Linked DNA regions of Arabidopsis thaliana. The protein of the gene in region 4 purifies or fractionates together with the protein of the main gene of each other region. This does not show direct contact. Each region holds a gene or a part of one and is shown on either strand. Other genes may lie near its edges. The genes, in order: GTC2, RIN1, PKL and ARP4.

What was found.
Region 1: the proteins of ARP4 (region 4) and GTC2 fractionate together in Arabidopsis thaliana (co-fractionation; one large-scale study listed by BioGRID). This does not show direct contact.
Region 2: the proteins of ARP4 (region 4) and RIN1 purify together in Arabidopsis thaliana (affinity purification with mass spectrometry; 2 studies listed by BioGRID, with this or other methods). This does not show direct contact.
Region 3: the proteins of ARP4 (region 4) and PKL fractionate together in Arabidopsis thaliana (co-fractionation; one large-scale study listed by BioGRID). This does not show direct contact.

The regions. Positions count from the first base shown.
Region 1 is NC_003075.7:6,582,706-6,586,777, reverse strand, and holds GTC2 (GTC2), read right to left. Parts: upstream 2,052-4,072; coding exon 1,020-2,051; 3' UTR 516-1,019; downstream 1-515. Other genes in the region: AT4G10660 (CDC68-like protein), read right to left, coding at 3,290-4,072.
Region 2 is NC_003076.8:7,390,262-7,396,126, reverse strand, and holds RIN1 (P-loop containing nucleoside triphosphate hydrolases superfamily protein), read left to right. Parts: upstream 1-1,846; 5' UTR 1,847-2,055; coding exon 2,056-2,145; intron 2,146-2,718; coding exon 2,719-2,907; intron 2,908-3,027; coding exon 3,028-3,159; intron 3,160-3,250; coding exon 3,251-3,400; intron 3,401-3,606; coding exon 3,607-3,762; intron 3,763-3,919; coding exon 3,920-4,054; intron 4,055-4,139; coding exon 4,140-4,205; intron 4,206-4,301; coding exon 4,302-4,408; intron 4,409-4,499; coding exon 4,500-4,599; intron 4,600-4,677; coding exon 4,678-4,769; intron 4,770-4,851; coding exon 4,852-4,921; intron 4,922-5,011; coding exon 5,012-5,101; 3' UTR 5,102-5,331; downstream 5,332-5,865. Other genes in the region: AT5G22340 (NF-kappa-B inhibitor-like protein), read right to left, coding at 51-140, 260-294, 382-462, 628-684, 789-908, 1,209-1,381, 1,468-1,618; AT5G22320 (Leucine-rich repeat (LRR) family protein), read left to right, coding at 5,701-5,799. UniProt on the Arabidopsis thaliana protein: Proposed core component of the chromatin remodeling INO80 complex which is involved in transcriptional regulation, DNA replication and probably DNA repair.
Region 3 is NC_003071.7:10,712,048-10,717,075, reverse strand, and holds the start of PKL (chromatin remodeling factor CHD3 (PICKLE)), read right to left. Parts: upstream 3,012-5,028; coding exon 2,937-3,011; intron 2,669-2,936; coding exon 2,525-2,668; intron 2,431-2,524; coding exon 2,293-2,430; intron 2,203-2,292; coding exon 2,048-2,202; intron 1,946-2,047; coding exon 1,784-1,945; intron 1,516-1,783; coding exon 1,301-1,515; intron 1,210-1,300; coding exon 1,114-1,209; intron 1,007-1,113; coding exon 870-1,006; intron 777-869; coding exon 564-776; intron 474-563; coding exon 366-473; intron 205-365; coding exon 154-204; intron 64-153; coding exon 1-63. Other genes in the region: AT2G25169 (uncharacterized protein), read left to right, coding at 3,062-3,145, 3,618-3,733, 4,098-4,162, 4,361-4,470. UniProt on the Arabidopsis thaliana protein: Chromatin remodeling factor that represses the expression of embryonic trait genes (such as NFYB9/LEC1) upon and after seed germination and thus enables the developmental switch to post-germinative growth. Silences some MADS-box proteins such as PHE1 and PHE2.
Region 4 is NC_003070.9:6,346,272-6,352,557, reverse strand, and holds ARP4 (actin-related protein 4), read right to left. Parts: upstream 4,511-6,286; 5' UTR 4,360-4,510; coding exon 4,347-4,359; intron 4,258-4,346; coding exon 4,166-4,257; intron 4,051-4,165; coding exon 3,886-4,050; intron 3,809-3,885; coding exon 3,735-3,808; intron 3,660-3,734; coding exon 3,579-3,659; intron 3,489-3,578; coding exon 3,428-3,488; intron 3,291-3,427; coding exon 3,241-3,290; intron 3,099-3,240; coding exon 3,044-3,098; intron 2,839-3,043; coding exon 2,761-2,838; intron 2,684-2,760; coding exon 2,630-2,683; intron 2,556-2,629; coding exon 2,502-2,555; intron 2,433-2,501; coding exon 2,372-2,432; intron 2,217-2,371; coding exon 2,165-2,216; intron 1,817-2,164; coding exon 1,750-1,816; intron 1,625-1,749; coding exon 1,562-1,624; intron 1,478-1,561; coding exon 1,415-1,477; intron 1,319-1,414; coding exon 1,256-1,318; intron 1,161-1,255; coding exon 1,096-1,160; intron 1,008-1,095; coding exon 939-1,007; intron 838-938; and 3 more. Other genes in the region: AT1G18440 (Peptidyl-tRNA hydrolase family protein), read right to left, coding at 4,872-4,985, 5,061-5,137, 5,221-5,279, 5,459-5,532, 5,618-5,668, 5,782-5,849, 6,071-6,155, 6,226-6,286. UniProt on the Arabidopsis thaliana protein: Involved in several developmental processes including organization of plant organs, flowering time, anther development, flower senescence and fertility, probably by regulating the chromatin structure.

The DNA.
Region 1 (4,072 bases), on a different chromosome or scaffold from region 4:
GAGAGAGTTGTGTATATAAGCTAATTAAGTTGAAGTTGATGCATGGGTGATGAAGACAAGATCAGCATCAGCAGGGAGATGGGTGAATGAGCTTGTGAGCTTTGATGTGTTTTGTCTCTTAGACATCGTCGATTGGAAACCTTTCTATTGCTTGTCCCACAGGAAACTCACCACCACTAATAGTGGGAACATCTTCGTATCTCATAATAATAATGGTGAATCCAAGATTTCTTTAATAACTTAAGTATTCATTTTTACCTTTTGGTTTATGGCATACCCTTTAATTATTTACAAGACCAACCGTTAGAGGATGCCACAATGGTATTTTCTGCCAATTTAAGTCGAAACAAATTTTATTAAGAACGACAAGAAACCTAAGACTTCATTATTTTCCCAAGGGCATAGAATAGATAGATAATAATCTAAAGCAGTTTTTTTATATGATACAAAAGATAAGCAGAACAAAAGGCTAAAATGATAAGCAAGCAGAACTCAAACTCTTGATTATTTTGTTTTCACCGGTGCCTGCTGCGTTTAGATGGTGGCATGTTCTTCATGCTGCTACTACCGCCTGCACCGCTACTTCCAGGACGCGATTTCCCAAACGCTTTCATCTTCCTTCTCTTCCTCTCTTCCTCACTATCAGACTCAACTCCATGCTCTCTGTCTGCATTAGTAGCTTCTCTCTCCAGCTCAGCCCAAGTCTTACCTTTCTCTTCCTCTGACTCTTGCTCTGAGTCCTCTTCTTCTTCTTCATCGTCTGACTCACTCTCTGATGTCTCGTCCTCTGACTCAGACTCAACCTCCACATCTGATGGTTCATACCCTTTGTCTGAGTCCTCAGAGCCGCCAGACTCTGAATCGCTTCCGTCCTGATTCAAAAACTCCCATCCTCCAGCATCTGTAAAGCTCTGCGGATCATCCGTGATCGTCTTCAGGATCTGTCTCCAGTTCAGATTCAGTTTGCTCTCGTAGTACTTTATATCTGTAGTGTCAAGCCATTCCTTTATCCCCTCTAACTAACTTGTTGGAACTGAGTCAACCCTAAGAACATCTTTCTTCAAGTCCTTGAAGATGATAGCCATGTCAAAGCTCTTTTGACCAAACCCAACTCTCTCAAGATTCACAATCTCAATCTCACTTAGACAGACCACCAAGAACGGGGATTCTGTCAGCTCAACTAAGCAGCTTGAGGTCGGTATTATGAAGGTAGATGTCTTGTGGGGGACACCATTGAAACCAAACTCTCTCAGAGGTTGATCAAACTCTAAGCTCAAACTTGCAAACTGGGGTAGTTGCCACATATCGTTGACCTGATTTGCAAAGTGATTGAAATCCATGTTGATCTTATTTTTCCTATCGCGCTCTCTCTGTTCTTCAACAATCTCATCTGCATCATAAGCTGATGATCTCCTCCTACCTCCTAAAGACTGCACAACATCCATTACCTCCACATAAAACTGTACGTCTTTTGTTTTCTTGGTTCCTACCATGATGTGGTTGTGGAGATGAAAATGTAAGAGGGTGGTCATCTCCTTCTCCGCCGGCTGAAAAAACGCATGCTTTATGTTTGCAAACAGGACATCAACGCGCTCGTTGGTCGTTGAATACCTAAAACCATTGACATGAGCTTCAAGTGTCCCACGATTCTTCTTGCGTCCACTAAAAGGCGGACGGATCCACAGATTGGACAAACTTAAGGGTTTTGAGTTGTTCCTTACAATCTGAAGTTTTTCTTGGTTCACCAGTGAAGTTCTCTCAGCTCTCTCTGACTCCCGTGCCATGACTTTCCGTCTGAGGCTCTTAACCTGTTGAACTACATCGCTGCTATGCCTTGAATCCTTGGTCCGGAATGAAACCTCCTTGAGGTAGATAGCGTCCTTGTTTTTCAAAGAGTCATTAGGGTTTAAGGGTGTACCCGGGACATTGAATATTACACGGATGGTGTTTTGATTGCCTAAGACTGTTCTTATTGTAGTCACGTTGAATGGAACCATCCTGCCGTATATTGGTAACAATACAGTGTCGCTCTTGTGATCAACCGTGATCATCAAATCCCTAGGTTGGGGTATGTCGTTAATATTCTTGTAGAGCTACATGTCACCAGCAAGCTGATCGAATACAACCACAGACCAAGAATCAAACTTCAAGTAATAAGCCTCTTTATAGAACTGAAAGAGAACAGAAGAAAAAAAAACGTAAGAAAGTAAACTTCAACGAGAACAAGTTATTTCGGATGCCTCTTCTAAGAAGAAAACAATCTCTATTTATAAGAAAACGTAAACACAAACATAAAGAGAAAAGGAAATAATAAAAAGGAAGAAATCTTTTTTATCATTAAAATCTGTTTCTATATAAATGTAGTTTAAGGGTTTTTATTTCTTTTTCAAATTGTTTTCAACTTTATATACAAATAATAAATATATTTAATACTTTTTAACCAATTGTATTTAATCATATATTTTTTATTGGTTGAATTGGTTATAATTAATGATATTTTTTATATAAAAAAGTAGATTAAATGAGATTTTTATGATTTCTTAATATGTGTGTAAATATCTTAAACTACAACTAATATAAAACAGAAGAAGTATTAAGTTATATATATATATATATATGTCATACTAATAAATCATGAGGAGATCTAGGGTTTAGAAACTGTAAATCATAACCTCTTCAAGAACATATGTAGCTCTCGATCGTTTTTCTTTCTTCATATCCTTCTTTCGTTTCCATCTGCGACCTCCTTCCCTAATCTGCAGTTCATATTATTGATGGTCGATGAAGAAAGGAGGAACATGATAGTACAAACTTGTCCATGCTCAGACGACGGCTAGGGTTTTGAATCAGAGAAAATTAAAAGAGAAATTTTGTTGTTGTGATTACTTTTTTTTTTTGGGTATGATCTTTAATTTTATTTTATTCTTATGAAAATTAAATTCTCAATAGGATTAATAAAATTAGCATTAGTATGTCACAAAAAGGGTATATCTTCATGTTAAAGGTTTTGGCTAGAATTACGGTTTGAATGATATGAAAATTCAATCACATGCAAAAGACTATGGAAGTTAAACAATAAAACTGTTTACATAGCCTCAAATCATTCACATACAAAGACTTTGAAAGCTAAAACATAAAGCTTAACAGTACTGAATCTTAAAGTCGCCATAAGTTTCACACATGCTATGATCAAATACATATATCAAATAAAATAGGAAAACTCAAAGCTAGCTTCACTTACCTTTACCATCATCCATTTGCTTATCATTTCATCACATCTAAGATGTCCTTAGACGGTGGCTCGATCCAGACTCCTAAGAGGGCAAAGTTCTTTCTGCATTTGCCATATTGTTGGTTTTGGAAGCTGCTTACGCGGATAGTACCTGGCTTCATCAAACGAGTAGGATACACATCCCTTGCAATCTAAACCATACTTTGGGAAGTACACACTGTTCCTCATCCCAAGAACATCCAATCTCGTCTCCGAGGAATACATACTTGCAAAGATTGTCACGCCGTCAAGAGTAGTACTATTTATCTCCTCCCAATTTGAGGAGACAAGTTTATACACCATCGGTATCTCGCTGCTACATGTATACATGAGAAAGAGCTCTCCTTTCTGCTCAGCCAAGTAAATTCTCTTCGGAAGATTAAACCATTCTGCATTATCATTACGCATATAAGCGCATCTATGTTCATTCCATGCTTGTTCACTCATTGTGCGGGAAGCTACATCAAAGTCAACTAAAACACCTCCTGAGCTAAAACAATAGAAGTGATCGTTGGCATAGACAAGGTTGCTATGCATGTATGGGTCAAATCTAAGAGAGCATGAAAATTCTTGAGTAATCCACTCAGTTGCTCCAGGATAGCAAATGCTTATACGGATGATATATCTTGTAAAAGGTCTTAACGCTAACACCACACAAGTACCTGATGTAGGGGCCGAAGAGAAAGCAATCGCTTGAAAGGCCAACTCACACTTTGGCAAGTTTATAAGCTCCCTAGTATACGGGTTGAAGAAGAACATGTCCACTAAACTGGATCTTCGCATAAGCAACCATCCGTCTTT
Region 2 (5,865 bases), on a different chromosome or scaffold from region 4:
GGAAGTGAGAAGAAAACGTGACCAGACTAAAAAGTTGTCAAGGTCTTTACTTTTTAGACTTTTTTTTCAGGAAGATATCAGGAACAGCTTCACGTGATAGACCATCAGCGTATCCATACAAAAGCTGAAGGTACAAGCAACTGCACTATGATCAGATTTGGTTAGGAATACGCGAGTGCTCGATCAAGCATGTTGCAGAACTATATCTTACAACGTCAAGGTCTATTTATGTACAAACCAATTAAAATAGACAACTAACCTGAATAGAACCCCAACTGCATAACTGACTGCAGCCTGTCATATGTCAGAATATTTCTTTCAGACACATTTTCGTATAGAGAAGCCATAGTATAAACTGGTTAGAGCTTTGACAGAGCTTACCTGAACTGATAAAGCTAGTAAACAGTATCCGCTGCATCCAGTTCCAATTACAATCGACAGGTACATGAGTTCACGCTTCAGCTACAAAAATAAAGACACAAACGCAGCAATTTCAAAGTTCATTCTACACAAATTGACTACTGGTACATACTGAACAGCCATTTTGCATAATAGAGTGTTTTGTTGAATCATAAAGATCTGACTGGCAGACTAATTAAGAAAACATACTGAAAGGAATAATCATACAGCTTCATATTTCAGAAAGTTAAACTTCTTCCTTCTCTCGCTGTCATCTCGTAGTGCCTGCAATCAAGGAAGTAGGACAAACGCAGCAGAGTTTTGCAATGAGAAGGACGTGTGAATGAATGAATACAGAGAACAAGAACATTCATAAATAGATGACCAACCTTAGCTAGAGCTTTCTTATTCATGGGGGCAGAATCACTCTCCCAACCAATCCATTCTTGTGTCGGTTTAAGTTTCAAGAAACCACTTTCATCATCATCAGCGCCATCTATCAAGCTTTCCTGCATATACAACATAAAGACATTAATAAAGGAGCTATACCAAGTTACCAACCAAAGTAACAGTACCAAGTATAAGATTGTTGCCATGAAAGCTATAAATTTGTGAGATTTCAGAAATTCACAAACCAATACTGGATTTCATAAAAATGTAGTCACTCACATAACAATTGCAACAGGATCATATAACTATCAAACTATTCCTCGATACAAAGTTAGCAATTTTAATCGTCAAAAGCAAACTTAGAACTGAAGAAAAAAAACTAGCTACAGTTACTAATGAACAAGTGAAAGAAACTTAACCCGAGTATCATCTAGTTCAACAGCTGAAGAAGAAGCTCCATTGGAATTAACATCAATAGATTCGAGAATCTCCTTTAACCAGAGCCTATCAGAAACTTTAGATATGAAATCTCCATTTTCTTCTCTGTCTTTCATGAACATTTGCAACACATCCTCCTCCACTAGCTCACTCACTAAAAACAAAGCAAAAGACATGAAATTTTCCACAAAGAGCGAACATTTGAGTAGTAAGGTTCAATGTAGAGAGAGAGATTGTCACCAGAGCGAGAAGCGGCATTAATGGCGGCCAAGCGATGGGAATTCCTGTTGGGAGGTCGCCGGAGATGATGCGGCGGAGAAACTCTCACCTTCGTCGGAGGAATGGTTCCGCCGGAAAACCAAGAAGCGGCGGGAATCGAGAGACTCTCCATGTAGCGAGAGAGTGAGACGGCCTCTGGTTTTTTTCCAGAAGAAGAAGCTTATCACTATTGTTGATGAAGAGAAAGAAAGTTTCCAAAAAGAAGACCCTTTTATTATTCATATATTATAATTTCACCCCTTAATTTACATTTATGACTATTGAGTCCTGTCTTTTTGTTTCGCCCTTTTCTCTAATTGTTTTCGTTTTCTTTCTATTTCTGAGTTTAGGAAGTGTGGGGTGATTTTGTAAATAAAGGATAATATAAAGGCCCATTGTTGCAACAACATGTTTAACATATAAACTTTGTTAGGAAGAGGTTTTGGCAATTTGGAGTCAGAGGGAGGCGTTGCAAACTCAATAAAGCTCAAAACTTTCCGCCGTCGTTTTCGTCGTCGGAGAATACAACAAAAGACCTAAAGCAGATCAAAGTAATTGTAGTTGACGGAGATGGAGAAAGTAAAGATTGAAGAAATTCAGTCCACCGCTAAGAAACAACGGATTGCTACTCACACCCATATCAAAGGCCTTGGCCTCGAGGTGCTCCTTCTCCTCTCTCTCTTTGACTCTAGTGGATTCCAGTAGTTTGCTCGAGTTTAGGGTTTAGTTAAGGTTTTATGTTCTAAGCTTTTTTAGGGTTTTAAAGCTATTTGCTTCGTTTGGTACTACGCTTAGAGTTTCTTTTCTCTGTTCTAGCACAAACAAACCCTAGTTTTCATTTGTAAAGTTTCGACTTTTCTGGGGATAAGATGCATTGCAGTATTCTCGTATTGCTCAAAGTTCTTTAAGGTTTTGTGTTTAAAGTTTAATGATTTTTAGGGGTTTCAAGCTCATTGCTTCGTTTGGTATTCTCCGAGACTCTTTTTTCGGCTCTAGCACAATTATACTCTAGTTTTGATTTGCAAATATTCAATTTTAATACATGTATTTTATGAAATATATAGTACTTGACCGATGTTTGAAGACCTTTGCTCTTCCACTTTGGCACGGCACTTTGATTTTAATTAACTATCTTTGCTTCTTTTACTGACTGTAGTTTCTCAAGCATCTGTGTGATCTCGTTCTATAACCAGTACATCATTTCTGTTGCTAATGTTGCGTCTCTTTTTCTAGCCAACTGGTATCCCTATAAAATTGGCAGCTGGATTTGTTGGTCAACTTGAGGCTAGAGAGGCAGCTGGTCTTGTAGTTGACATGATTAAGCAGAAGAAAATGGCGGGCAAGGCTCTTTTGCTTGCTGGACCTCCTGGAACTGGGAAAACAGCTTTGGCTCTTGGAATCTCTCAAGAGCTGGGAAGCAAGGTAATTTTGGATGTCTCATTTTGTATCTTCTTTGTTACATTGTTTCCACATGGCTTCATTGTATGAAGCTTTTTTCTTTTACTTTTAGCTTATTTTATCTGGATTGTTTCTTTCTTGCAGGTTCCATTCTGTCCAATGGTTGGATCTGAGGTTTACTCATCAGAGGTTAAGAAAACAGAGGTTCTCATGGAGAATTTTAGACGTGCCATTGGTCTACGTATCAAGGAAACCAAAGAAGTCTATGAAGGGGAGGTGTGTTGCTATTTGCGGTTTCTTTTGCTGTGTTCTTATGCAATAGCATGTCTCGCTAATTGGTTTTTGACATGTTGTCCTTGTGTTCTAGGTCACCGAGCTGTCACCAGAAGAAACTGAAAGCCTCACTGGAGGTTATGGTAAAAGCATCAGCCATGTTGTAATTACACTCAAGACAGTCAAAGGAACCAAACATCTGAAATTGGATCCCACTATCTATGATGCCTTGATTAAGGAAAAGGTCAGTTCTTGGCATGCGATGCTATGCTTTGGATGTGGTATTTTCCCCTAAGTTTTTGCTTTTCAGTTTGTTCCAAAACCTGCTTTTCTTTTCACCTTTTTGGTTTTCTAACGATGTCATTCTGTGGGGACAATTGTGTATGAATTTGCTGATTACTTTGTCATTCTGATTGGTTTCTTTTTATATTTTTGCTGTTTGCCTCTCAGGTAGCTGTAGGAGATGTAATCTATATCGAAGCAAACAGTGGAGCTGTCAAACGGGTAGGTAGAAGTGATGCTTTTGCCACTGAATTTGATCTGGAAGCAGAAGAATATGTTCCACTTCCCAAAGGAGAGGTCCACAAAAAGAAAGAGATAGTGCAGGTTTACCTTCTTTGACCTCTCCCTTCTGTGTAGAGTAATTATTTTCTTTGTTGATTTATTATCTGTTATGTATTAGTTTGTATGTGTATTAACCTTAGTTCCTAAGTTTATTAAGACTACTTGTTACTCAACTAGACCATATACTTTTGACTGATAGGATGTCACACTCCAAGATCTGGATGCAGCAAATGCTCGACCTCAAGGTGGCCAGGATATACTTTCTTTGATGGGCCAAATGATGAAACCGCGGAAGACTGAGATCACTGATAAGCTTCGGCAAGAAATTAACAAGGTGATTTTCGCTAGTACATGGGTGATTTTTTTAAGCATCTTACTTTCTCTTTTGCAAGGTCTAATATTTTTATATGCCATTGTAGGTTGTGAACCGATATATAGATGAAGGTGTGGCAGAGCTTGTTCCAGGAGTTCTATTTATTGATGAGGTATTTTCCCAAATAAAGTTTTTTTTCATTCCACTATTGATCTTGCTCAGGACTCAGGAGCAGTAAGAATACCTTTGTTTAATTATAAAACCTCAGGTTCATATGCTTGATATGGAGTGCTTCTCATACTTGAACCGTGCTCTTGAGAGCTCATTATCTCCGATAGTGATATTTGCAACAAATAGAGGTGTTTGCAACGTAAGGTGAGAAGAGCGCTAGACCTTGATAGACATTTTCCTTTGGAAATCTTGTGAGTTTTTGTTAACTTGGTACTGTGATTTACTTTATTTGCAGAGGGACTGATATGCCCAGCCCCCATGGAGTCCCTATTGATCTATTAGATCGATTGGTTATCATCCGGACTCAAATCTATGATCCCTCTGAAATGATCCAGGTTACTCAATTGTCATTTAGCTTTTGGATTTCAATTACTACGAACAACATTCTAATAGATTTATCATTTTGTTCACAGATTATAGCCATTCGTGCGCAAGTTGAAGAATTAACCGTGGATGAAGAATGCTTGGTTCTACTTGGGGAGATTGGGCAAAGAACTTCACTAAGGTACTGTCATCATTGCTTTTCTAAGCAAAATTTCTGTTCGTGAATCTAAATACTAAAACCTTTTTTGTGCTTTCACTCTCAGGCACGCTGTGCAGCTTCTGTCTCCTGCCAGCATTGTAGCGAAAATGAATGGCCGTGACAATATTTGCAAGGTAGATTTACTTGTGAAATCTTAGAACAATAAAACAAATGTAAAATATGTGGATGTTATGTTATTAATCCTTCATCTTAAATTTTGACAGGCTGATATAGAGGAAGTAACATCACTCTACTTGGATGCTAAATCTTCAGCAAAGCTTTTGCATGAGCAACAAGAAAAATACATCTCATGAGAAGAACACTAATCGCACATTTTGTTGAAACATCTCATAATTTTTCTGTCGTTTTATTTTGTAATGTCGGAATATGGAGAATGTCTAATGGGATTACAATTTGGTTTCTCTGAATTCATTTATTTATGTGCTATTTTTTTGTTTGTGGTGCTAACTAATGAAAACTGAAATATGGTTTCACGTGTATACACATACATGGTCGTGAGATTCAAACTTTTGGTTTCATATTGAGTTCCCTTGTTACATTACAATACACTTATTCAAGATCAAACTGTTTGTGGAACATAACATTGTGTAATTGTCTATTTGGTTACTGTTAAAAGTTGATGTTGCGCCAAAAAGAAAGAAAAAAAACTCTATTATCAGAACAGAGTCAGCAGAGTCGGAGATTATAAAACTTGAGGATCAAAGTGGGAGGAGTACCATAAGAGGGTGTCCCTGATCCGTACAATAATAACAAGGTCAAATGTATAAACAATAGAAAACTGTGGGGTTTTTGGGTAAAGACTTATCACGGTTGGGAACAGAGACAATCTTTTGAATAAGGTGAAACCAAAAGACTAGGGTTTTGTGTGACAAGGAAGAAGACGAAGACGGCGATGAATTCGTTAACCGTTGAACAAGTATTGAAAGAGAAGAAGACCAATGACCCAGATTCCGTCAAGGAACTTAATCTCGGCCATAAAGCTCTCACCGACGTGAGTATTGTTTCTGTTCTGAAACTCTGTTCCCAAGTAGAAATTGATACGAAACCCTAATTGTTT
Region 3 (5,028 bases), on a different chromosome or scaffold from region 4:
TGAGATCTGCTCCTCTTGATTAATATCTTTGAACTCCTCCTGGAACTCCTCCAAACTTCCAAACTGCAAGTATTGTGCAATCAAATAACATGTTAGCTACATAAAATTCTGTTAAGTATGCGAACTTATTTATCTTTGCTATTCTTGTGATACCTTCCCCGCATCAAGAAAATGCATGAGCATGAAAAGTTCATCCAAGTTGTTCTGTAAAGGCACCACATAATCATCAGTAACATATTGCAACTAATCAGGTAAGACATTAGTGCAAGATAATATATAACAATTCTCATTGCAAATCGTAGCTACTATGCTCAGATACAACTATTGAAAGTATAAACTTCAGAAATCAAACTCAAATGACGAACCTGAAGTGGTGTTCCTGTCAGAAGAATACGGTGGTTACTTGAATACTGTGTCAATGAAGAGAACAGCTTTGAATCCTTATTTTTCAGTCGATGACCTTCATCAACAATCTGCCCAAAACAATTGTTACTAGGCAACATGTAAGAGAGAAAGAGAGACGACTAAGAGAAAGTAAAGTCTCATTAGAGAATAAGAGTTACCATGCACTCCCACTTAATTGGTTTTAGAACTGCTGAATCTAGGTTGATCATCTCATACGATGTGAGGAGGACATCAAACTTGATTCTTTTTTGCTTGCTTTCGCTACTTATTTGTCCAGATTTCTTTTTCTTGATCTTTTTTTGATCTTTCGATAAGTAAAACTCATGTTCTCTGATAACTGCTCGAGCTTGCGCAGTGCCAAAATACATAACCTACCCGTCAAATGACCACGAAGACCATTCCATTAACAAACAACAAAAACATACAAATGGCACAGATCATTGCGTGTATAACTGCATACATACCACGTTCATCTGTGGGGCCCATGTGGCAAACTCTCTCTCCCAGTTACGCAGAGTCGATAGAGGAGCAATTACCAAATGCGGAATGAGGTTCTCCTCAAAAAGTGAAGCTAAAAGGGCAATGCTTTGAATTGTCTTGCCTGTAACAGGAAAAATCTCACAACATTACAGGAATAGAAAACAAAGGCCCCTTACAATGGATGAAAAGATCTATGTGACCACCCAAGTGGGACAATTGAAAAATTACCTAGTCCCATTTCATCAGCAAGGATTACATGCGTCTGTTTTGACCACGAGAACCGCAAAAAATTAAGTCCCTCAAGCTGGTATGGATGTAACAAGCCTTCAATCGCAGGAAACAAATAAATCATAACATCTATAAGTACCAAATATAAGAAACATTTATAGTATATGATTTAAGGTGATCCAAATACCTTTGAGGAATTCAGGAGTATGATCAAACTGTTGAAAGTCTCTGGGATTTCTTTTATGGTCAACATCTTTACTTCTGCGAGTTCTAGAATTTACATCCTTGAACCTTTGAATTTCATTCTGGAAGGTTGAGATGTCTGATTCTGACTCCCAATAACATTCATCATAGGATAGCTCTTTATATTTGACAAGATATTCCAGCTCCCCATCTTCCTCTCTATATCATAAAAGAAACCAATGCAACTGTCACAATTCCTGATTTACGAAACAACTAAGAAAATGGTAACTTAAAAAGAAGAAAAAAAAGGTAAGCAGGTCATTTATCATGTTTCAGAGACCCAAAATCGTGATAACAGTAAATTTAGGTTAAGCAGCACTCTATCAAAGATACGTGTTTATTAGAGAATGGATTATGCTGAAAACAAGGATATTAAAAAAAAAGTTGGCAGATAGATAAATAAAGGAATTAATTCCATTCTCTAGACCTGCAGGCAAGAATCCGATCAACAGTGGTCCACTCAGGACGTATGGCAACAAAATCATCTTCGCTGTTATTGAATGACTCCATTTGACGGTGAAAATTGTTCACTCTGGTTTTTAAACGATGATTTGACTTATAAGCCTTCTGGAACTCCTTCTCAGGCACCCTATGATTAGTAAAAGGAAATAAATCACATATTATAGTGTTCACAGAAAGAAACATTGATAATTAGCGTGTCCAGACAGCAAAAAAGACACGCAGTAACTACCAAGAGCAGTGAAGGTATGATAATCCCTTCCACTTCACGAGATACTGTTTCACAAAAATTGGCTTCGGTTCCGCATCGGAGGAACCTTGTTCACTAGATTTTGTAGGACGCATTTCACAATCCAATATCTTATCTATCTCGTTAAGAGGACTAACCTGCAAATGTAAACAACAATTCTTCCATGTAAGAAAAATGGAACCTGTAGCATCCCAAAACATAATTGTGGACCGTAACTAAAATCTTACACATTCAGGGCATCTCCAATTTTCCACGGAAGCATCTTTAAGAGGTGGAACTAAGCATTTAGCATGGAACGCATAAGTGCATGTATTGCAGCTTACAAGATTAGTACTTTCCCCACAAGCCTGACATGCATTTTCTTTCTACAAATTCAGAGTAACAACACAAAAAAAAGGATTAAAATAGAACACATAAAACAGTAAAAGCTGAACAATAAGCTCGAGAGGAGAAACAAACCGCATCAGTTCTGACAATAGCCTCGACTTGCTCAAAGGTTCGATCTTTTTTAGGAACGAAGTCGTCATCATCAGAATCATCTAGGTTATAAACTGGTTTCCTATCAGATCGTATGCGAAGCCTCTCCACCAAACTACTCATTTTCTGCACACAAAACATATCTCCCATCAATAACAACAAACTTACATAAACAACACATATAACAATAGACTCAGTGCTAGTTCTGAGACTTAAGCAAACTATGAAATTAGAGTTTCACACAATTGAACTCTACTACCTAAACAAACATCACAGTGAAATTTTTTGTTCCCAATCTAAAACCTTTACAACTATATCAAGAGATAGTTCGTACAATAGCTACTAAACAACTCGATTCATCAAACTCTATACCACATGAGCAAGATCGACTAACCTTGTGAAAGAGAACGAGAGAGAAATTGGAAAAAACCCTAGCCAAAATTACCCATAAGAATAAACAATTGAGCATCGAAATGTGAGTACCCAGAAGTCGAATTAACAATCTCTTACCGCAATATCATGAAAAGATCAAAACTTTACAAAACCCAAACAGTTTCAAACTCAGTTTGTAACGAAAATTTGAAAGAAAGGAAGAGAAAAATAGTAACTTGAGAAGTAATTTGAGAAGTCGAAAGCGATATTACTAGTCGAAGATAGAGTAAAAAGTGAAGCAGAGAAGAGTGTGGAAGAGAAGGAGAAGACGAACCTTTGAAATGGTTGGGATCTGTTTTTGCAGAAGAAGAAAGTAATCCGAAACGAACGAAACTTGAAAATTCAGACAACACAAATGATTTCTAACATTTAGCTTACCAATTTTAACTTATGGTTATTATTAACTTTAATACACTTCTTAAGGTATAAAATATCACCTCTAATTAAATTACCTTCTCAATATCATTATTTTTTCACACACAAAAAACTTACTTTTTTGTTTGAAAAAATTATAATTACTTCTAACTTATAAAAATAAGTGTCAAAAATAATGACAATTACTTTTCACTTACCCAATATTGTTATTATATAAACTTAGATATTTTTAAATATTTAAGTTTATTTACCTTTTCCCCTCAAAGAGGCTAGAGGAAGATTTAACATGCTTTGCTTGGTTTCGCTATTTATCATGGAGCTGAAATCTCTTGACGTGGGTTCACTCCTTGTTGGTGCTAATTATGGAGAAGATTTTGAGACAAGGTTTAAAACAATATTGAAGGAAGTATATGCTTCGAATGGGCAAACAATCTTGTTCATTGATGAGATTCACATTGTTATTGGTGCAGGTGCTCTTTCTTTTTTTGATTCAGATTATACATTAATAGATGACCTTTTTATTTATACACAATACTTGTATGCATTTTTTTACTCTGACCAAGTAAAACGTTTTGTATAAATGGTTTTGATGGGTGGTAACTCTATAAAAATGATTTTTCATCTCATTAGAAGAATACTGCATCGAACAATTATTGAGGATTAACACTGGAGATGAACAATTATGTCTACTAAGTATTTCTTGTATAATCTTGTGTCTCTATACTAATGAGTTATTACTCTTGTGTAGGAGCTACTTGTGGAGGCGTGGAGCAATAGAAGCGAGCAACTTCTTGAAACCGTTGCTTAGACCAGGTGAGCTGAGATGCATTGGTGCAACTATGTTTGTTATATCCACCTTAACTTATTTAGCTTAAACTTAACCAACCAAACCCACTAACACTTGTGGGGCTATAATTCACTTACGGCCCAATGGCCTTATTACAAAACACAAATCCAACTCCGTTCTTATGTTGGATTTGTGTCGTTGACTCTTCTTCCTCCTTTGGTCAGTGGTCACGACAACTTCTTATTCTCTTCTTCCTCCTTTGGTCACGACATCTTCTTCTTCTCTTCTTCCAAGCTTGGCTTCTTCTCTTTTCTTCATCTTCTTCTTCTCATGAAGCTTTCTTCTTCTTGTAGGATTTAATCTAGGATTCAATCTCCAACGACATTGACCAAAAATATATAGAGAGATATCCAACGCTAAAACGTAGGTTTCAGCAAGTGTTATGTAGTCAACCAACTGTCAAGAACTAATTGCGTAGCCCTTACAATATGTAATAACAATTGTAGCTTAAATTACATGCTTTGTTTTCAGATTTTAACTATTAAATTTTTGGTATATTTCTTTGAAATTTTTTGGATAGTTCACAAACACATTACCATATTTAAATCTGAATTATTATGTGACATCAATATATAGTATAACAAATGATGATGAACTATAATTTAATCGTATGGATACTAGCATAAAGCTTATAAAATGCGTGCTCCGGTGTTATTACACGTGGTCCAAGTTCGACTATAGAATACAATACAAAGGACACAAAATCTTCATGTACAATCAAAAATTATCAACCCCATATCTTATAGTTGGAAACGATCCAAAATAGGTTATATAAATAAAATATATAAAATATGTCAAGTATAACGGTCTCACATCACCCTTTTGGCTTTTG
Region 4 (6,286 bases):
TAATCGGGAATCGAAGAGAAAAGAAACGTTTTTTTTTAAATTGTGAGTGTGTCTTTGGATTGAAATCCGATATATTAGGGGACGCCGGCGATTCTTACCGTCCACAAGAGAAGGTCGGTAAACGTTATTTAGAGAGACGAGACAGAGGTTGACACGTGGGCGTATATAATTGGATGATTTAGAATGTGTCATCTATTGGATTTTGCATGCGGATATGGAGACATGACACGTAAGTCTGTAGTGGCGGAGAAGTTACGTCCATTTTGTCTTTATTATTATTCAGACCATTTTATGATTAATAAAAGTATTATTACTTACCAATATCAATTACATTATTTATATTATTAATAATCTTGTGGTTCAAAACATTTTGCTATTCTATAAAATATGTTCGAAGACCGGAATTTTGGAACTTCGAAGTCATTAGCTTTTTGAGAGGCACGATAAAGCTGATTTTTTCTTCTTTTTTAAAAAAGAAAAAGAAAACTTATGAAGCTGCTTTTTGTAGTTTCGGATTTGTTATTTTCTTGTTAATTTTGTGGATTATCTTGGTTCGTAGTAACAAAACGTGGACGGTCTTGATTGTGCGAAAATCTAATAAAGCAACGAAACTTCTTCCACATGTTTTTATGTTTTTAAAATAGCACTATAATGCTTGTTAATGACACTCATTCTAAAAGGTTCAGGCGGAATACTAATAATCTTCAAGGAACAACGATGCACAATGAAAATAACACATTAGTTTCCAAGTTTCGTCTTGTCAGACTCCACATAATCTGAAACTGCCTGCTTTAAGGGCATTTTCTCTGAATGTAGGAAGCTCCATGTTCCTCATACCTGCCATTTACACCAAGACCCCAAATCCGAGTGTCAGGAGAGAAAACAAACTATAGTTTCTTTGCGAGTCTGATTAATGGAAAATCAGAACAGAGACTTACTCAGACTTGGAGAACCACATCTGTTGAAATGAGCCTAGTGATGCCAATATACTCCCTCCTATCCATACACTGCACATACATAACATGTTTGTTGGTTGATCCAAGCAAAAAAATTTGGGTCTCATTATAGAGGAAGAAGTGAACACTAAATCCAGACCTGAATCTTCTTTCTGTTGTGTTACCGCTTGCCAACACTTTAACTCTAGCTGAGTGAGGAGACTCCTGAAACAAAGATAGAGGGACCAATGAATGATTTTCGCCATCATAAAAACTGGGATAGCTTTAAAGACAGAGGAAAAGAGTTTAGGACACAATACTTCGATCAAGTCCTTTTCGAGACGTTCTTTCAGCTGTTGCATTGACGATGTGCCACCAGCAAGCTGGCATAATGCGAGAAGAAAGGAAATGTTAATCATCCACATCCAACGAAACTAAAAGTAGGGGTATTTAAGAGTTGGCATTGATTGCTATTTTACCAGTATGCTACTATACAACTCTCTCCGGATGTCTACATCACATTTGTTGATGCTCTCCATGACCTGTACAAGTCAGTAAAATGGAGAGTAAAGTTAGAAAAAGTTAAGAGATGGAAGCTTTGCAATGACTAAATACCATGCATATACCATGTGTGGTAACCCACGAACGGAAGGAATCATCTCAGCATACTTCTCCATTCCAGGAATCGTCTGCAAATTGCAATAAAAACGGAGAAGAAACCTTTGATAAATAATTCGAGGCTCAAAACGCTCAAGATAAGAAACAAAATGTCTTCAGAATCTTCTGTTGAATTTATCGTGCTCAAATGGTGTACCTGGACTATGGACGGGTTGAACATCACATCAGGAACTTTGAACCTATCAGCACCAATCTCGAGCGTCCTTCAACAGACATGGTTAATAAGATATTGAGAAAGACTACAAAAATTACAGGTGCAGCTTCCTGTCTTCAATGAAGCTAGCACTTTTTCTTTTAACTTAATTCTCATTATGAACATTAGGTTCCATGCAGGTTTCCAAAGCAATGTCTGACTCTTCTAAACTTTTATGCCCAATGGCTTTAATGACTCAGATCCAACTAAGCACTTATCTCAGCTTAAACAAGGTTCAGAGCAGTGGTACATTTGGCTAGAAACTAAGCTCAAACCTTATACGTAGAAAACAAAAGCAACAGTAGCATGTACATTTGAGGCACAAATAAACCGAAATAGACATATAAACTGAGCTTACTGGCCATCAGGAAGCTCGTACGACGTAGTAGGGATGTTTGAATATGATTTATCTGCAGATAAATGCATCACATCAGAAAAACTAAGGCTATGCGATCAAATGACATTGAAAGATAAAAAGTATCTAACGTTCAACTCTCAAGCAACTTTAAACTTTGAAATAAAACAAATTTATGAAACCAGAGACAGACAGAATAACATAAGGTACCGTCATAGGGAGTATCAGGAACTCGACAAATGGAATCCTTGATATCACCCACTATCATCCTCTGTTGAAACAAATCACCAAATTATCACAACTGAAATTTTCAAACGAAGTTTCATAATCAATTACAGACCTGGCAGAAGAGTTTGTAGCTTTCCGTGGTGTCAGGAATATCCACATCTTCAACCTGCAAGGATTCAAAGGGAGGAAATTAGAGACTATTCACTGCTAGTAGTTTCATTCACTGATCCACATATGCACCTGGAATTCCCCTGCTCGTACTTCCTTCCTCTTGAAAGAGTATCTAGGTCTTATCTGCAGAAAAAATAACCAGTATCACTCAGATAATTTGGCTTAAAAGAAAAGAACAGTGAAGAATTTTTTTAACCTACTTTAATTCCTTTACTCTCCAAGCTTTTCAGTAGGCAGTCAGTGAGAAATTCCCCTCCAAGTGGAGACGATACAACAGCCTGCGAATAAAAGTATGGTCAACAATCGGAGAATCACAATCTACATCAATGCTGTAGGTCATAATTCACATGGATGAGAATTTATAGCAGCTACAGATGACTATGGAAACGAGAGATGGGAAACTTTCTCCTGCAGTACAAAATCCAAACCCAAAGAAACAGCATCACAAAGCTGAATTCTTACTAAATCGTGTAATACAAGTACCTTCTGAAGAACATAACCATCATGCACCGGTGAAATGGTTGTGGATCCTCCACCGCTAGAAATACAATAAAGTGTCATCAGTGCTTCTCAAATTATACACCATACAGAACAAGGTAGACTTTCACAGCATATAGAGCAGAAGTGGAACATTAGTAGCTTCTACATACTAGAGAAACTTTTAATACTTAAAGTCTTACCAGTCAACAACCAAAGAAGTAGCACGCCCAGTAGCAAAAGACGTGAGAACCTAGCACCAAAAACACCAAATTCATGTAGATAGTTAGACATCTGATTACACAAGAGCTGACTGGATATCAACATTACAGTGAACGTCATATAATAATCTATCAAAAAGAATGATGACCCAAGGGAGAGGGAATATACAGGGTTCTTAGCCATAAACAGTGCCGGAACTTTGTACTTTTCAAACATTAGCTCTGCCGCCCTGTCAAGCATATGATTTGAGAAAATCAGTAACACACCAAGATAAAGCAACAGTGGTAATAAAGGATATTTCAAAGCAGATAAATCATACTTCTCTCTCTGCTGTTGAGTGTTTAAAGGAGGCTCAGCTAGCAGCATTGGATGCTCCGTAGGATCAATCATCAGACAACTCCTTAAAAGACAAAGTTTTTTTAGAGATGAAATGCAAACAACAATTAAGAGAAAATATAATGCTTTACACATTTACTTGAAAGCATGTTCCCATATATTGTCCACCAAATCCCAGTCAGAAACGATGCCATCTTTTATAGGTGACAAAACCTGGTGAGAGAAAATGCAATCTGTAATTTCACCAACAAAGTTATAAACTTTAACATTAATCAAGGAGAAAAACTAACCTCCATATGATCTCTGCGGTAGCTCATGGCTTGAGATCCTACATAGAGCTTGCGTTTGCTCTTTTCCTTTTCAGACTCGGTCTTCGAATCCTCAGAGTTCGAATTAGTCTTTGTAGAATCAACATCCACATCCATTGCCTCTACACCATCTACTGCCCCAATAACCTTATGAACACATCAAAAAAAAAACTAAGAGTCTGAAGATACAAGGGACTTGAGCAAATCTACAATAACACCATTAAGCTTATAGTGACATAAAATGCTGGTAATTAAGACTTACGGAAGGGAAAACGGCCTTGGGAGCATCTTCACCGGCGTAACCAGCCTTGCAAGTGTGCGAACCCAAGTCAACCACAATAGCTGACACTTCATCTGTGAAAACCCACCACGGAAAAAAACAGCTCAGGAATGTCTCAAAAGATAAACGACAAAGCAATTCAAGGGTTTAAAGAGAAACCCACCTCCGCCGTACATGGCTGCAGCGAACGACAAGGGTGGAGCGGTTCTCTATCTGAGCTTTGTCGCCGGAGGGTTTAAACACGGGACGGGGTTCTCTGTAATCTCGGATCCAGCTGAATCGGGTCGACTTGGTTTTACTGAGTTCGAGTTGTGGGGACCACAAAACCTCTCATTTAATCCGTCGGGTTTAAATTATTCAAGAAACTAACCGAACCGAACACAATTTTTCTAAACCGAACCAACTTTTGTGACCACCCTTTTTGCAGTAAACGAAGCTGATTTATTGCCAAATAAAATGTCTATGCTTAATGAAAGTGTATAATTTAAATTACAGCCGAACAAATACTGAAATCCATATTTTCGAGTTACATAATAGAAATTATGATAAACAAATAATCTGGTTATCTTTTGATGTACAATTTGCTCAAAAAGGATTCAAGTATGGAACCAAAAAAAAATTATTAATGAATCAGCAAGAACACTTTGTAGTTTGTTATATGAATATATGTAATGTAACAATGTCACTTCTAACTGAGTTGCTCCATAGATTTTCGAGTGTTGACAAATGTTGCACTTTTGTTGAACCCCTCAAGCAAAAGAATCCTTATTGCCTCTAACCCGGTTTGGAATGTGTGATCCAACTGCAAAACCAAAAACAATCAGGTTATGTCTTTCTGAAATTTTTTGAGATAATTATGGGATAAATCTGCTTCTACCTCTTCCTGTTCCTGTCTATTGAACTGGCGGAGAACAAAATTGGCTGTATCCATCTTCCCTGGAGGACGTCCGATCCCTGAAATGAAACATTCGACAATTTGCAAAACCAGAGAAGAAAATGGGAAGATATGTCGGAGTGGAGAAAAATGAGAACTGTACCTATTCTTAGTCGAGGAAAATCACGGCTACCTTTGAGGCGGTCTATAATACTTCTCATCCTGCAAGTAAAAGAACAACCCATCATGTTTTCTTGTAGAGTTTCTCTATGATTTGATAGTGAAACCGCAAACTATTATCCATCCACATTGCTTCTTAAGTAAAAAGTAAGACAATACTTAAAAGTTAAAACACAAATGAAAACATCAACAGGCCAGATAGAGAGTGAAAAGCATTGTACCCATTGTGGCCTCCGTGACCACCTTTTGGCAATAAACGTAGTTTACCAAAGGGCAAATCTAAATCATCGTAAACCTGAAAAAGACAAAAAAAATTAAGACGGCATATGCACTCTAGAGCCAGAATTTGGAGAGTAAGCGAGAGAGAAGGTTAAGTATACCACAAGTACTTGCTTTAACGGGATCTTGTAAAATGAAACGATTTGTCCAACCTTCAAAGAATTCCAGCAATCATAAACAGAAAGAATCAAAATAACAAGTGATAAAAGTTAAAGAGATTGGTTAACTAAATAAACCAAAGTTTGTTTCCGATGAGCTCACTTACAGACTCACCACTTAGGTTCATGAAAGTTTGTGGTTTAGCCAGCATAATCGGTATATTTCCAATAACGCCTATGATAAAGGAAAACAATACCCAAAGTTAGAAACAAACCAGAGACAGAAAATGATATTTATTTCAATATTCATTCTCCGGAAACAGTTAGCCATTGTTTCTATCACCCTCATCAAACATTTGAGACGTATGAAATTTGAAAGTTTCAAACTTTGAGATAAGAAAACCATTTCAAAATGAAAATTCACAATGGAGAAGATAAGAGAATGAAAAAGAGAACCTTTCCCAAACAAGGCCTTGAAGTTAACAGTGTTCATGGAGATGCCTTCTGCATCAGCCAAAGCGTCCACCATCTCAAAACCAACCTGCAATTCATGATCACGTTACCGAGCTGAAAAGGAAAATGCAAAGTGAGAAAGCAAGAGAGAGACATACGTTGTGGCGCGTGCCCTGGTACTTCTTGCCGGGATTACCCAAACCAACAATGAGCCATGGC